Rattus norvegicus: one gene and its partners. The protein of the gene in region 2 interacts with the protein of the main gene of each other region in a pairwise test. Links are inferred from orthologs where the notes say so. Each region holds a gene or a part of one and is shown on either strand. Other genes may lie near its edges.

Region 1 (4,640 bases), on a different chromosome or scaffold from region 2:
AGTAGGGGTCAAGGGATACATATATGGGAGAGCTGTGAGAAGGCTAGAGCCTTGGTAAAGTGTGGGGCTGAAACGGAAACCCAGCAGTGAAAGCCACCAACAAGGAAGAAGCTAGCACCACCAATGTCACAATGCTGGGTGGCTCTGTTCTCACCTTTGGCTGAATGTGAGACCCGAGCCACCAGGCAGGGTCTGGGCTCCAGTCTGTGCTGAGGTGTCTTGGCAACCAAGAAGGGAGCTAAAGGTGCTGGAATGATAGCTCAGGGGTTAAGAGGACTGACCACTCTTCCAGAGGTCCCAAGTTCAATTTCCAGCAAGGTCTCCCCATGCAGCTCTCTAGTGAAGCAAGACCAGTAAAGTATGATGTTGCCTGAATCACGGGGTTTAAGAGAGAAGCGTTGGGTTGGGGGCTCACAACCATTATAAGAAGGGAACTAAGAAAGGTTTCAACAAGCAGATAAGCCAAGGTGCAATGTCCAGTAGGAATGGCAGGCCCCGCCCCTTTCCCTGCTCTCTGGGAGTCCAACCTGGGGAAGGAGCTGGCAGGCCCCGGGTCCCCTCAGTTGGCAGAGTTACACTGTAGGATTTGCTGAGGGGCAAAGAGCTTCCTGACAGCCGGGATCTCTATAGGCTGCCCCAGCACTGAGTAGTTCTCTTTGTTGTCTGCAGTCTGGGCTGAAGACTTCTTAAAGTAGCACAGGCGGCAAACAGAGTGGTACTTGTCCGCTCCGCCAATCACCTCCACCTGGTAGGAGAGGCGTATGAGGGAGGACTCAGAAGCCTAAGCCCACCCCACTCCGTGGGCAGAAGCACAAGGAGATACCTCTTTCTCCAGGCCCAGCCTCTTGGTGTAGGAAGCTTCTCGAAAGCACTCCATGCACACAGCGGTGAGCTTCACCACACTCTCGGCCAAGGGCACCAGGTTCAAGATGCTGCCGAAAGCCTACACAGGACAGCAAAAGTGTTAGCCAGGCACTTCCCTCCCTGCCTGTGTTCACGTGTATGCGTGTGGAGGGAGTTCTGCGGAACTGACGCAAGCCTGTGTGCAAGGCAAGTGTGTTACAGCCTGGGCTGCCCCCAGCCCAACGCTTCTCTTTTAAACCCCATGATTCAGCAACATCATACTTTACTGGTCCTGCTTCACTAGAGAGCTGCATGGGGAGACCTTGCATGCTGTCTCCCCTCTCAAGACCGCTGCCATGGGTCAGACATCTTTACCTTCCTCTGGAAGGTTCCGTCCAGCGCCGCCACAATCACTGTCTTGCCTGTATTGGCCATCGTTTCACAGAAATCCACAATGTCAGGGAACTAGGAAAGTTCAGAGAGGATGAAGTGAGCCGTCCTGAGCAAGGGCCTCATGAAGACGGTGAGGGATCCGAGCACACAGGTAAGCCCAGAGCCGGAGATCAGACCGCACTGCCACTCCTGTGAAACATCCCACCTGCATGCCCACTGCTACCCAGGGCTGGCCCACAGAGGCCTCTACATACCAGAGAGGCTGGAACAGCAGTTCTCAACTAGTGGGTCGAGACCCCCCTGGGGTTGAACAGCTTAAACAGTGTGCATGAAGCCCTTGGCTCCACCCCCATCCCCTACCCCCACATCAAATGAGCCAGACAAGGTGTCCAACACAATACCACTACTTTAAAGGTAGAAGGATTAGGAAGTTAAAATAAACCAGGGCTGGAGAGATGGTTCAGGGGTTACAAGCATGGCTTGTTCTTATAGATAACTAGAATTCAATTCCCAGCACCCACAACAGATAGCTTACAAACCATCTGTAACTCCAGATGCAAGGACAGCTAATGTCCTCTTTTGGCATCTGCAGGCACCCACCCTCACATGCACACATGCACTTTTAGCCCCCATGGACAGCTGGAGGGAGGAAGGGAGGGAAGGAGGAGGGGGACTCTTGGTAATGAGATGTACAAGGCGTACGTAAGTAGGTTGGCAGGGATAGCTGCCCTCCGCCTTCCACTGTCTCTCAGGCCAGCCTCCCCCTTCACAGCACGGGTGTAGACCAGGTTAGCCTTGAACTCAGGAGATCTACTTGCCTCTGCCCCTGAAGTTCTAAGATTAAAGGCCTATGCTATGAGCCTGGCGCTTCCATTTCGTTTGAGCTGGGTCTCTTCCTGAATCTGGAGCACAGCTACTGGGCTGGGCTGCCTAGTCAGGGAGCTCCAGGGGCCTGCCTGTCTCTGCCTTCCTCACACTGGGATTATGGACATGTGGCTATACCCAGTGTTGTACACGGGTGCTAGGGACCCAAACTCAGGCACTCATGCCTGCAGAGCCAGGGCCTCCCTCACTGACAGAACTGTCTCCCCATCCCTTCTGTCTCTCACTTTTGATTGGTTACTGCTGTGCAACCCAGGCTGGCCTGGGTTGCAAAGCAATCTCCTGCCTGCCTGGTTCTTGGACCTTTTCTTGAACATATCTCTGCCCTACACCTTAACGTTCTAACCTTTCTCTTCTTCCACGGTCCCTCCCAGTTTTAGTCTTTCAACGGAGGTGAGGTGGAAGCTCCAGATTTATCTCCAGACCTAGAATGCCGCAGCCAAAGGGCAGAAACTTGGAATGGATGCGATTGGTCCCTGGACTCAGCCATTCCCACAATAGTCACAGCATGTGACATGGCTTGCTCTATAAAAACACACGTGTATAATTAGAAGCGTCCAGGCTGGACTGGCATTCATCAGAGTCCTGGCACTGGCTGAACATAATCTCTTGGGTCAACACCAGGCAAGGCAGGCACCCTGGCCGCATGAATAAAGACCCTTCCTCAGTCTCACGTGACCACTGACAAAGCAGGTGCAGTCTATGCCAGAAGCAATCAAACAAGCACCACCCTTCCGCCAAAAGGAGCTCGGTCCCCTCCCGGAGGGCCACTGTTCCACGACTAGTGTTTGCCCCGTGGCAGGCTTTAGAACCCACAATATTGGCTCGCAGGGCATTCCTGGTAGTTTCTGGTTCAAAGACACTTAAGTGGCAAGCCTCCTTTGTCTGGTGTGCTCCTGCTGTGCCCTACATTGAGCCTGTCATTACTGCGTCAAAAAGAAGGGAAACAAAGTTCTTAACGATGCAAGCTTCTAATCTTGCCCAGAAGCTGTGGGCCCTGCTTCTGGTGAATGAACACACGGGAAGCTCTATGTCCTCAGCTCTGGCTCCAGGGACCCTACAGGACCCTCTACCCACTGTCTGAGGACACAGGAAGGAAGGGCAATCTCCTTGTGTTACCACGAGGAGATCCTGAACTTAGTAAGGAACAGGGTCTAGAGTCTGGGGCGGAAGCACACAAGAATTGTGTTGTTTATACAGTGCACACTGAATACTCACTGTAGCCTGTGCGAGGGCCCATGACTACACAATACCAGCACTCAGGGGCCCGAGTTCTAATCTAGCCTGGACCACAAAGCAAGACCCCACCCCAAAACTCCAAGTAGCCACTAAATGAACTCGTTTTCCTTAATCATAAGGTGGGGTGGGGGTGGGGCGCATAGAAATAAATCTCTCCTATAGGTTAGGATGGGGAAGAGGGTTGGGGCGACTGGTAGGCTGGTGCCAGACCTGGGTATGAGTCTATCAAGCAGGAAGAGCTAAGAAAAGAAGGTAGTGGGCTGGAGAGATGGCTCAGCGGCTAAAAGCACTGACTGCCCTTCCAGAGGTCCTGAGTTCAATTCCCAGCAACCACGTGGTGGCTTACAACCATCTGTAACGGGATCTGATGCCCTCTTCTGGTGTGCATGAAGACAGCTATAGTGAATAAATAAACAAATCTTTAAAAAAAAAAAAAGAAAGAAAGAAAGAAAGAAAGAAAAGAAAAGAAGGTAGTGCCTAGGGAGTGCGGCTGGGCCTCTGGGAATACCAGGAGAGCACAGAGTAAGCAGGCTACTGCCGCAGGCCTGAGGGGGGAAACTGTGTCCTAAGTCAACGTCTGCACAGCCATTGCACTCCCAAGGTTTACCTCTGAGGACAAAACAGATCAGGCATGTCCAAATGGATAGACAGATGCCAAGAGCATGACGAGGGTATCATGGCCAGAGCTTTCTCATTCTATCCTGGGGGTCGGGGGCACACGAGGGACAGATTGGAACATTCCTCCTCTAAACCCAAACAGCCTCTCTCCTTCCAGGGTAGAGCGTAAGACTGGTGGGCGGCCAGAGAGCCACAGCAAAGTCTAGCAGAAAGTCATCAAGTGATACAGAGCCTCTGGCCCAAACCCCACCACCCAGGACCATCATCCAGGTTTGTGAACAAGCCTCTTGCTGCCACAGGACTCATTTTCCATTGAGTGGTTTATTATGTTGTCACAGGCTGCTTGCTTGGGACATCACGCCATCTTTATGTGACCACTATTTTTAAAATTTAAAAAAGTCATGTGTGGGGTTGGGGATTTAGCTCAGTGGTAGAGCACTTGCCTAGCAAGCGCAAAGCCCTGGGTTCAGTCCCCAGCTCCGGAAAAAAAAAAAAGAAAGTCATGTGTACATGTCTATCCGACGAGTGTATGAGGACTTGCATATGTGTAGATGCCCACACAGGCTGGGAGAGGTCCTGGGCTGGAGCTGTAAGTGGCTATGAACTGCCCAGTGTGAGTGCTGGGAACAAATCCGGTCACTTGCAAAGTGAGCAAGTGCTCTCAA
Region 2 (4,373 bases):
CCCCTTCATTAGAGCACACCTTTCTCCTACTAAAGAGCCCCTCAGGGTTTGGTTTGGTATCATTTCACAGTGCTAGGGGATCAAATGAAGAACCTTGGGCATGGTTGACAAATGCTCAAGCTCTGGGCTGCATCCCTAGTCCTATACACACCTTTTGCACCTTCCTCCTTAATCATAAATCCATGAAAAAAAAAATCTCTCTGTACATTCTTTCTTTCTCTTCCCCCTCCTCTCTCTCTCTTCCCATAGCAACTCCCCTGGCCTCTCTCTGTACACATTCTCTCTCTTTCTCTTCCCTCTCCCCTCTCTCTTTCTTCCCGTAGCAACTCCCCTGGCCTCAGTCCCTGGGGCCAGGAAACTTGCCCTAGAGCAGCTTACAATAAACCTGCATGTAAAAACCATAAATATAAAGAAACTGAAAGAGGCAAACACACGCCTCTTGAGTGAGGTGATGATGCCATACTCAGTTCTGGCCACTAGAGGGAGCCCAAGGTTTCTTCCCTGCGGTAATCACCACTGGCTAAGTAGAAGCAGTCATTGCTCAGTTCACTGGGTGAAGCTGTCAAAAGGCCAACCTCACGCTGAAATCTTTTTAATCTTGTCCCTCCCTTCAGCATGGGGGAAGAGAGGAAGCAATATTTATGGCTCCTCTCTGATTTTGTGAGGCACTTTCACCTACATGACTTTGAGTCTCTTAGCAACCCCTTGGGGGAAAGGGGTTAGTGATTCTTATTACTGATCTTGCAGTCTAAATATTAAAAAAAATCCAATTAATTTAAGTAGAGGAAGACTGACTCAAGTGGGATTTAAAGCAAGACTATTAGCCTTTGATCTTTCCATCTTTATTTTTAATTTTTTTTTAACTTGAAACTGAATTACATGTCCTAGATTGCGAACACATATTTTTAGAAGCAGGATGGTTTAGTGGAAACTGCCTGGGGTCAAGAAGGAAAACACATCCTGCTCGTCGTTTTGTTGGTAATCAGGCTGATTACTGTGTTCTCGGTCTGAGGGATGATAATAGCTGTTCTACCTCTCAGAGTGAATGAAAAGGCTGGAGAATCGGCTAATCATTTTGAGGACCTTTTACCACCATGAAGAATTGCTGATGGGTATCGGGGGTGTGGAGTGCTCCAGGTGAACAGAGAGAAGTCATCCTCTTCCCCCCATTCGTTGTTCCTTCTTCTGACCCAGAGCAGCTGCAAATGCTTTTCTGTCCTCTCTGGTTTAGGACTTTGATCCATAGACCTCTGACGTGCATCTGAGCTTATCAGCTCTCTAGCCGGAAATTCAGAATCACCTTGTGTTCACACACACACACACACACACACACACACACACACACACACACACACCAACAACAACATGCACCAGCATTATAAAAAGCAAATTTAAGATACTGGTTCTTTTAGAAAGAAAAGGGAGGAGAAGAAGACAGTCAGGGCAGGCTACGGGCATAAATGTTTTCAATTTTTAGTTCTTTAATGTAAAAATATCCCATCTTGGGGGCCTAGCTCAGAGGCAGAATGTTTTCCTGGCATTCATGAGGCCCTGAGTTTGATCCCCAAAACCAGAAAAAGGAATCTAAACCAAAATGTCCAAGTATTAAAACTGAAAGGGCTCAGTCCTTGTCACAGTTCACTATCTTGGAGTGTTTACTAAATTTTTTTCATAGTTTACAAAGAAAGAAAAAAAAAGACAACACAGACATCTAAAATTTCAATGGTCAGCCACCACCTTGTTATCAAAAGCGATGAACAAGTTCTTCTCCTCTGGGACTCTTACATGTCCTCCTCAGACCAAACTTTAGGCTGAGACATAAAGTAGCCAACGTGTACTGCAAGCGCATCTAAAAGCCTCGTGCTACCCAATCCCCGTTCAGTATATTCATTTATGGTTCCGGCATACAGCACGGGCTGGCACATAGCCAGGCACCTGCTAGGGTAGCCTTAGGTTGCTGAGTCTGTTGCTTTGCACTGAGTACATAAGTGACCCTAGTCCAGAATTGCTGCACTGTCCCAGACTGCAATCCAGACTCTCCACAGTGGAGTTCTCAACAAGTCCTAGAAGCCCACTCGGGCTGCTTGGCCCATGCCTCAAAACCTTTTGTCCCAGAAGAGGAGAACTTGATGTGATTAAGTAGCCAGGTGTGTCTGAGGAACGTGTGTCCTTTCAACTACAGTTGTGTCATATCAGCTGACACTTTCCGCACCAACAGTGCAGTAACTTTGGTTCCCATGTCTGTCTGTTCCCTTGCAGACTCTATCACATCACACTGTGGACATTCCTCCTTGCCCTGGGACACTTCCTCTCGGAGTTGTTTGTATTTGGAACAGCGGCTCCCACAGTTGGTGTGCTGGCACCCTTGATGGTAGCAAGTAAGCACTGGGCCACCCTAGACCCCTTCAGTGGCGGGGCTGGTGCAGAGGCTGCGCTGGGCGTGAGGTGCTGTTTCTATCACCATTAATCTTTTCTGTGTTTAAGGTTTCTCAATCCTGGGTATGCTAGTTGGGCTCCGGTACCTAGAAGCAGAACCAGTATCCAGACAGAAGAAAAGAAATTGAGGCCAACCTTGCCAGCTCTGAAACATCATGGTCTTCCACCTTTGCTCTCTTTATTCACCCTCTGTCCTTAAATCATTTCCTTTTGGCTGCATCCTTAGCTCCTTCTCTAGGTTCAGCATCTTAAGCATTTGAGAGGGTTTTTGTTTTTTGATTTTGGGGTTTTTTTATGTTTTTAAATTTTTTAAGGTATTAATAAGAAATTACATAACATGTATGTATAATTTAGAGTCATTTCAAAAATACTCTGTTAGACCTTCAAAGTCAAGGAATTTTGAGAAGCTCCCTAATGTGTCCTCCCCCTAGCTATAACCCCTCCAGGCTCCATTTTCTGTTCTTTTTGCTTTTTGTTGTTTGTTTCTCTGCATTCCTTGATTTGACTTGTGTGGTGGGAGCAGAACCGTGAAACTGCAGCTGCTGCCTGCCCAGAGCAGCTGCAAGCAAGGGCTGCTTCATGGGGCTAAGCACATATCTGGGCTCCTTTCTACGCTGGACCCAAGACTCGGAACCAGCCAAGGCACAGGCAGTTCTTCTGAGAAGGGCTGCCCTCGAGCAGGACCAGGCTCCTCTTATCTACAAGTGGATGAAGGTTGGAAGAGTCTGGGCTGTTTTTAGACATTTTGGTCAGTTGTTTTTGTGTAATGCATTTTGTAATAAATAGGGAAACCTTCTATTCTGATCCATCTTTGTACTTTGACCTTTCCTAAGAACCTTTTTACCCTCCAAACCCTCTGTACCCAACACAGGAACATGGTAGCCTGCTTTGCCTTTCCACCCACTGTTCTGACGGCTCAAGACCGGGAGAGCGAGGCTCCTCATTGTCCACCTGCTCACTTGTGTTCTTGATGCCAAATCTTCTTCCTTCTTCACCTTCAGGACTCTCGTGGGCAGCTGGACAGTTATGGCCTTTCCCATTTTCCTCCCAAAGAAGCAGACTCCTGAGAACAGATATGGGAAGTAGAGCAAAGCAGCCTGGGCCAAACGACATGAGTGTGTAAAGAAGCAAGGCCAGGCCAGGCGTGCTGGTGACACCTTTAATCCCAGCACTTGGGAGGCAGAGGCAGGTGGATCTCTGTGAGTTTGAGGCCAATCTGGAAAAGCCAGGAGAGAGAGAAAGAGAGACAGGCACAGACAGACAGACAGACAGACAGACAGACAGACATGCACGCACAGCAAGGGTGATGCCACCATATGAACTTCATACAGAATTCTGTAAGAAAGCCAGGTGTTTGAGTCAAGAGGTAGAGCTGATAGGTGATAATTAAATCGATCAGAAAGACCTCCCTGAGCTGGAGGCGGGTTAAGGGGGGGCGTGAGGGGGTGTCTCAGCTGAGACTCAAATACCCAGAAGGTGGATGTCTTGAGATTCAATGCCCAGAAGGTCATCTGAAGCATTAAATAGTCATTAAATGCCATCGAGGCATTTAGGGCAAAAAGAGCAGCAGCTGTGGAAGGAATGAGCACCGTGAAGCTACAGGAGGGTGAAGGCCTTGGCCGTGAGAGGCGGGAGGTCAGAGGACAGAAGTAGTCAGTAGACAGAAGTAGGAGGATGGCCAGTTTTTAGCTAAGTACATAGAAAGCATCAGTGCTTTACAGGGAAAATTTGCCTTAAATGACTTTAAACAGTAAGCATGCCGTGGATGCTGTAGCCAACAAAGAAGGCTTCCCGGGGTTTGGCGGTGCTTCGGTAAGGTCTCCAGCTCTCATTTGGTGAAGCTTCTCCAGCTTTGCACAGCCCTGGCTGTGACTCAGGCTGGCTTCATTTGTAGTGCCAAAAGAGAATGCAGTTCCAGACCTCAGATCCCCATGGTA
Region 3 (5,220 bases), on a different chromosome or scaffold from region 2:
ACCCCAAGGAGGTGGCCCAGGGTAACAGAGAAACCAATGGAGAGGGCAGGGCTACCCAGGTTGTCACCGCGGCGCTCGTCGGTGGAGGCAAAGATGCACAGCACCAGCTGCATGGTCAGGAAGAGCTCTACAGTCACAGCCTGGCCAGCTGTGGCGTTGTTGTGGAGCTGGAGAGAAAGATGGAGGGATGAGTCTAGGGAGGCTGGTCACACTGCCCCCTCTTCCTGTCACCTGCTTCCGGAGCCAGAATACCATCCTCCACCTCAATTGTAACCACTGCCCCTTCTGAATCCTGGTCCCACGGTAGAGGATGGACCTGGGGCAGCCCGAGGCTGGGAGGTGGGTCTCAGAACTGACAGCCCAGGAGACTGAGGTTTGCGAGAGGAAAGAGATACTGTGTTTCAGATTTTGGGAAGAGGTTACTGTTGCAGCAGGAAGCTTTGGACCTGGTACTAGAAAGGCTAGTGTGAGCTCTAGGTCATACTGATGCAACAGGGTGTGTGTGTGTGTGTGTGTGTGTGTGTGTGTGTGTGTGTGTGTGTGAGAGAGAGAGAGAGAGAGAGAGAGAGAGAGAGAGAGAGAGAGAGTGAGAGTGTCTTTCTGTGGTCTTATGGTGGAGGAACTTATGGCCTAATTCCCCTCACCTCTCTCTGCCTCCCCTCCACCCCTTGCATTCAGGCCTTGCTTCTGTCCCCATAGCTGTTCCCTGTACATCCTGTGGAGTCTGAGGATGCTGAAGGCGGACCTTCATACCCACATAGGGTACCCACTGTCCCTGCAGCCCCTACCCCGGGAAAGAAGAGAACTTGGTGCTGAGCTCAGGGGCCATTTCATAACCTGGCCACACCCAGCGATGCATTTCAGGGTTTTGTCATCCTGCACCCCACACCCTGCCCTCTGGGGCTGAGCACTGCATGGGGTAGATTGGTGACAACTTTCAACTCCCACACTCCTTTAGGTCCTGAGCTCCTAGCCTGATGCTTCAAGATCTTTCTGGGGTCTAGCCTCAGCCTCTACTGTGCTACAGCCCCTTAGAGACAGGAACAAGGACTTGGGACTCCCACCTTGGCCTCCTCCAGCTCGACGGGAGACTATCTGAGTCTCAGTATCTCATTCTGTACAGATGTGCAGGATAAAACCAACCCTAGAAGATTGAGGGTGGCAAGGACGAACCTCTGGCCCCACTCTTGCTGGCAATGCTGTTCAGAGACTGATGGTGTAGGTTTGAGTCTGGTGTCACACAAGCCCAGGCTGTCCCTTGGATGGTACTGTTTATTGCTTCCACGATTTGGGTCACTGAATGCTGGATTTAAACCATAGGGAGGGGGAGAGCTCAGAACTGAAGTTACAGTGCTCTACCAAGGACAAGATAGTATGTGACCTGGCACAGGGATGATCGCCATCAGTGGCAGCTTCCTGGGGTCCAAGCTGACTCTTGGTGGCATCCTCAGAGAACACTGACTGCTTCAGTGGTTGCTGGTCTCTCCCTAGCCTCAGGGCAAATGGGCCCTCCGATGCCCTATCCCAGACAGACAGGGCTCCCTCTACCACCTAAGGTGGGTCAAGGCAGAGAAACAGTCTTTGGTGCTGAGGGGTGGGTAGGCTGGGATATGTGGTGGGTGGATGGGGGATAAGGGATGGCTGTTCCCCAGGGCTTTGGTGTTCCCAGGGCCTCGGTGCTAGAGAAAGCCTATGGCATGTTTTCAGGGGGTTCTTTGACTAGCTGTATGTCTCCCTGTTTTAAAACAAGCTCATTTTACTAGGTATAGACACCCTTCACACCTCAGCTTGCCCCTTGCCCCCTTGTGGCTCTAGATCCCCTGCCCCTTTTCTGTTTTTGAAGAGTGGTCCCTCATGGGGAGACTTCTGTCCCTCTCATGAGGAAAGCCATGTGCAGAGGAGTATGTGTGCAGGGCCAAGGGATTGACTCAGTAGAGAAATGAAAAGGGAGGAGCCCCGAGAGACACTTGCTTTCCTAGTTTGGGATCCTGACAGGGTCCCCACATTCCTAGGCCTGCGCAGATTGGAGAGCAGACAGACCATGGCTTCACCTTCAACTCTCAAAGTGCCCTGGGTGCTGTTTCACCATTATAGCATGAAGGCAGACTCCAAGAGTCTCTTCCTGTAGGCTTCTGCCAGGTTCTGGTACTTCTGGTATTAACAAATCTGATCTCTGGCCTCCCTTCCCAAGTCTGTTTCTTGGTTTGGAAGACAAAGCCCAGATGGCACTTTGGATAGTTGGTTGCTGGAGAGATCATGGGTTTTGGGGTTGAATCAGGGTTTGGGGGTGCTTCCTGCCTGGAGCCTGCTCCACCTTACATAGTGTCAGTGTTGCCTTGTGAGCGGCACTGCCCAGTCCTCACAAGCTCAATGCTGCTGGGATATCTTCTTCTCTAGATCCCTGTAACTGCACTCTGGAGTCCCCAAGGCCCCCAAGGCCTGTCTGTGCTAGGCTGCTGTGTCCTGCTAGGGTCTAGCCTAGTCCTCCCATGGAGTCTAATAGAAATCCAGACTTCTGTTCCTTGGTGGTGCTGGGTGGAAGGCCCTACAGGCGGCCACCAGGATTCTGCTCCCGGTGACCCTGTTGCTTTCCTTCCAGCTCTCCTTGGGTAGTTGTGTTCCTAGCCTTCCTGGCCTTCGGCTCTCCGTTCCCTCACCCAGAGCCTGTCCCACCCATCTTACCCGTCGCAAGGGTTTTCAGTGACTGCCCCTCCTGGAGGAGACAAAACTCAGGCTACTTACAGCATTGACAGCCAGGTCCCCACGGATTTCTACTGGAGTAATCTCATGGAGGATGGCAGCCCCAGCCACGGCGCCCAGCAGCTGGGCAGCCACATAGAAGGCAGCTCGAAGGAAGGAGACATGGCAACCCACCAGGCATGCCACAGTCACGGCGGGGTTGATGTGTGCCCCGCTGACATGGCCCAGAGCCTGAACCAGGGTGCCGATGCCCAGACCAAAGGCCACGGCGATCTGGAGCACAGAGGGTGGGGAGCTGGCCCACTGGAGGGCTGAGCCAAGGCCAAAGAAGACAAAAAGGAGCGTGGCCAAGAACTCAGCCAGCACTGCTCGGGAGAAGGCTATGGATCTGAGTTCCCACATGCTGCTCCGACTTCTGCGCGCTGGCCAGGGGTCTGGGCCACGGGGGTGGCTCTTCCTCCCTCCCTCTCTCTTTCTCTTCTCTCTTCCTCTGGGCCTCTGGGGAGGCTAGACCGTGGGCACTTATAGGACCTTCCTATCGTAGGCTTGGGCACGTGGTATGGAGGAGGCGTTCCTGCCCACACCATGCTCTCCCGTGGTGGCCTTGCCCCAACCCATGCTCCTGCCCACCTGAAGGCCCTATCGTCCCATCTTAGCTTCCACAGCTGACTAAATGTTCTCCTCGTTAATGAACTCCAGATAAGGATTGACGTCCTCTGTTTTCCTCATTTTTTTTCTCCTCAGTTACTCCAGGGAGCTGCCCCAGGGCTTCCCCAGCCCCCAGAGTGACCACCAGTTCCAGTTCCTGCATTGGAGACCGTGTCCAGTGACCTTCTCTTCGACTAAAAGGCTGGCCAAGGAAGGGGCACCACCTCAGCCCAAACTGTGAGAAAATGTGGGAACTACCTTTCCGCTGACTGGATGGTCGGTCTTTCTTCTGGAAGAGGATGGAAAACAACTGATTGGCCTGGGACAGATTTCCAAGGCAAAGGTCTTGTGCTTGCTTTCTTGCAGTTAATCACCCAGAAGTTATTATGTTTCACCTTCACCCAGGAACCCCAGCCAGAGAGTAACTCCCATTGCCCGGAGCCAAGGGTGGCTTCAGTGGCCCCCGGGGACCCTAGCCCTGTGTGGTAGAGTCATCCAGAGCCAACAAGAAACACAAGGGCTTCTGTTCTGCAGCACGCACTCCAGATGTGACATCCCCGCTCTGTCTCTATAGATGAGGTAATAAAACTATCTCGTAGGATAGAGATCTGCGTTACTATGTCAGTCATTGCTCAGTGCTATTTGCATTTTGAGGTAAATAGGTCCTGTCCCCCAAACTCAGAGTCTCTGAGGCTACAACAGACTCTAGGTACCATCTTTGAGCTCAGAGGAGGAAGATGTTTCTGGTGGCGGGACCACTCAGCTTGGTCAGTGTTCTACAAGGTCACCTGCCCTCACAGCTCCTGTGGCTGTGGAGCCTCAGAAGACTGACCTACCTGATGCCTCTTCCTTCTTTGGGGATCCAAAGGCAGGAGTGCTTACAGTGCATCCAGATGACAGGCTTCTAGTCCCCCTGGCCAGCCATAGCCCAAGGGACAGGAATGTGTGAGAAACCGATGAGCATGTGGTGGAGACACACTAAGGGGTGACTGAAGCTAAGGGAGGGTCCATTTCTTCCCAGGGTACCCCAGAAGATTGGTGGCTGAGCTCAGACTAGAACCCATCAAGGAGTGCTTTCCTGACACCCTGCACTGCCCAGGTCTGCTCTGAGCCCTGCTCTCCTTGCCCAGACAGGGCCAGACAGTGATGCTTCTCCCCTTAGTTTTCAGAACATAGTAAGATGCACAGTAAACACCCACGTATACAACGTGGGCACATGCACACTTGCCTCCCACACATGACTTGCAACTCCTGCTGTTAGGGGGCAAGATAAGAATGAATACATGAGGGTTGGGGATTTAGCTCAGTGGTAGAGCGCTTGCCTAGCAAGCGCAAGGCCCTGGGTTCGGTCCCCAGCTCCGGAAAAAAAAAAAAAAGAATGAATACACGACACCAACAGAGGCCCTCAGAGGAGTCTGAGGACTTGGGCTCAGGTAGTGCTCCCTGCTCAGGGTCCTCCCCTGCAATCCAGGCTCTCCAGAAAGACTCAGTGGGAAGGTGGAAGAGCCTTGTCTTGAGAAGGGTACTTGTGACTCTGTTTTCTCCTTCAATCATAGGGTACCCAGACTTGGCACACAAAAAGGGTGAAGGACCCTATCCAGGGACTGTATCATGTCTGTGCCTCCATGATACATACTATCTTGTATGTAGTGTCTACCACCTCTCCCTGTCCTCTCCCTGCCTGTCTCAGCGGTGCCTGGAAAACCCCCAGGCTGTATTGAGCTGAACTGTGACCGTGGTTCCAAAGCCACTTGACTATTGAGTTCCAGTGTGACCTCCGATGAGCCGCACACTCTTTCTGGTCTCTACACTGTGTGTGATCATGAGAACAGCGTTCACTGGTTCTGACCCTAAACAGCACAGCTTCTAATC

What was found. The genes of interacting proteins can lie anywhere in the genome.
Region 1: the proteins of Erg28 (region 2) and Tk1 interact in a two-hybrid assay, tested with the Homo sapiens proteins (2 studies listed by BioGRID and IntAct). The link is inferred for Rattus norvegicus from reciprocal best matches to the Homo sapiens genes ERG28 and TK1.
Region 3: the proteins of Erg28 (region 2) and Aqp2 interact in binary tests that used the Homo sapiens proteins (3 or more experiments, as listed by UniProt). The link is inferred for Rattus norvegicus from reciprocal best matches to the Homo sapiens genes ERG28 and AQP2.

Annotation. Positions count from the first base shown.
Region 1 is NC_086028.1:103,534,392-103,539,031, forward strand, and holds part of Tk1 (thymidine kinase, cytosolic), read right to left. Parts: intron 1,309-4,640; coding exon 1,219-1,308; intron 944-1,218; coding exon 824-943; intron 746-823; coding exon 560-745; 3' UTR 1-559. UniProt on the Homo sapiens protein: Cell-cycle-regulated enzyme of importance in nucleotide metabolism. Catalyzes the first enzymatic step in the salvage pathway converting thymidine into thymidine monophosphate.
Region 2 is NC_086024.1:111,203,969-111,208,341, reverse strand, and holds the end of Erg28 (ergosterol biosynthetic protein 28 homolog), read left to right. Parts: intron 1-2,259; coding exon 2,260-2,378; coding exon of another isoform or gene 2,379-2,467; exon of another isoform or gene 2,468-2,484; coding exon 2,485-2,564; 3' UTR 2,565-3,239; downstream 3,240-4,373.
Region 3 is NC_086025.1:132,588,252-132,593,471, reverse strand, and holds the start of Aqp2 (aquaporin-2), read right to left. Parts: upstream 3,187-5,220; 5' UTR 3,103-3,186; coding exon 2,743-3,102; intron 168-2,742; coding exon 3-167; intron 1-2. UniProt on the Homo sapiens protein: Forms a water-specific channel that provides the plasma membranes of renal collecting duct with high permeability to water, thereby permitting water to move in the direction of an osmotic gradient. Plays an essential role in renal water homeostasis.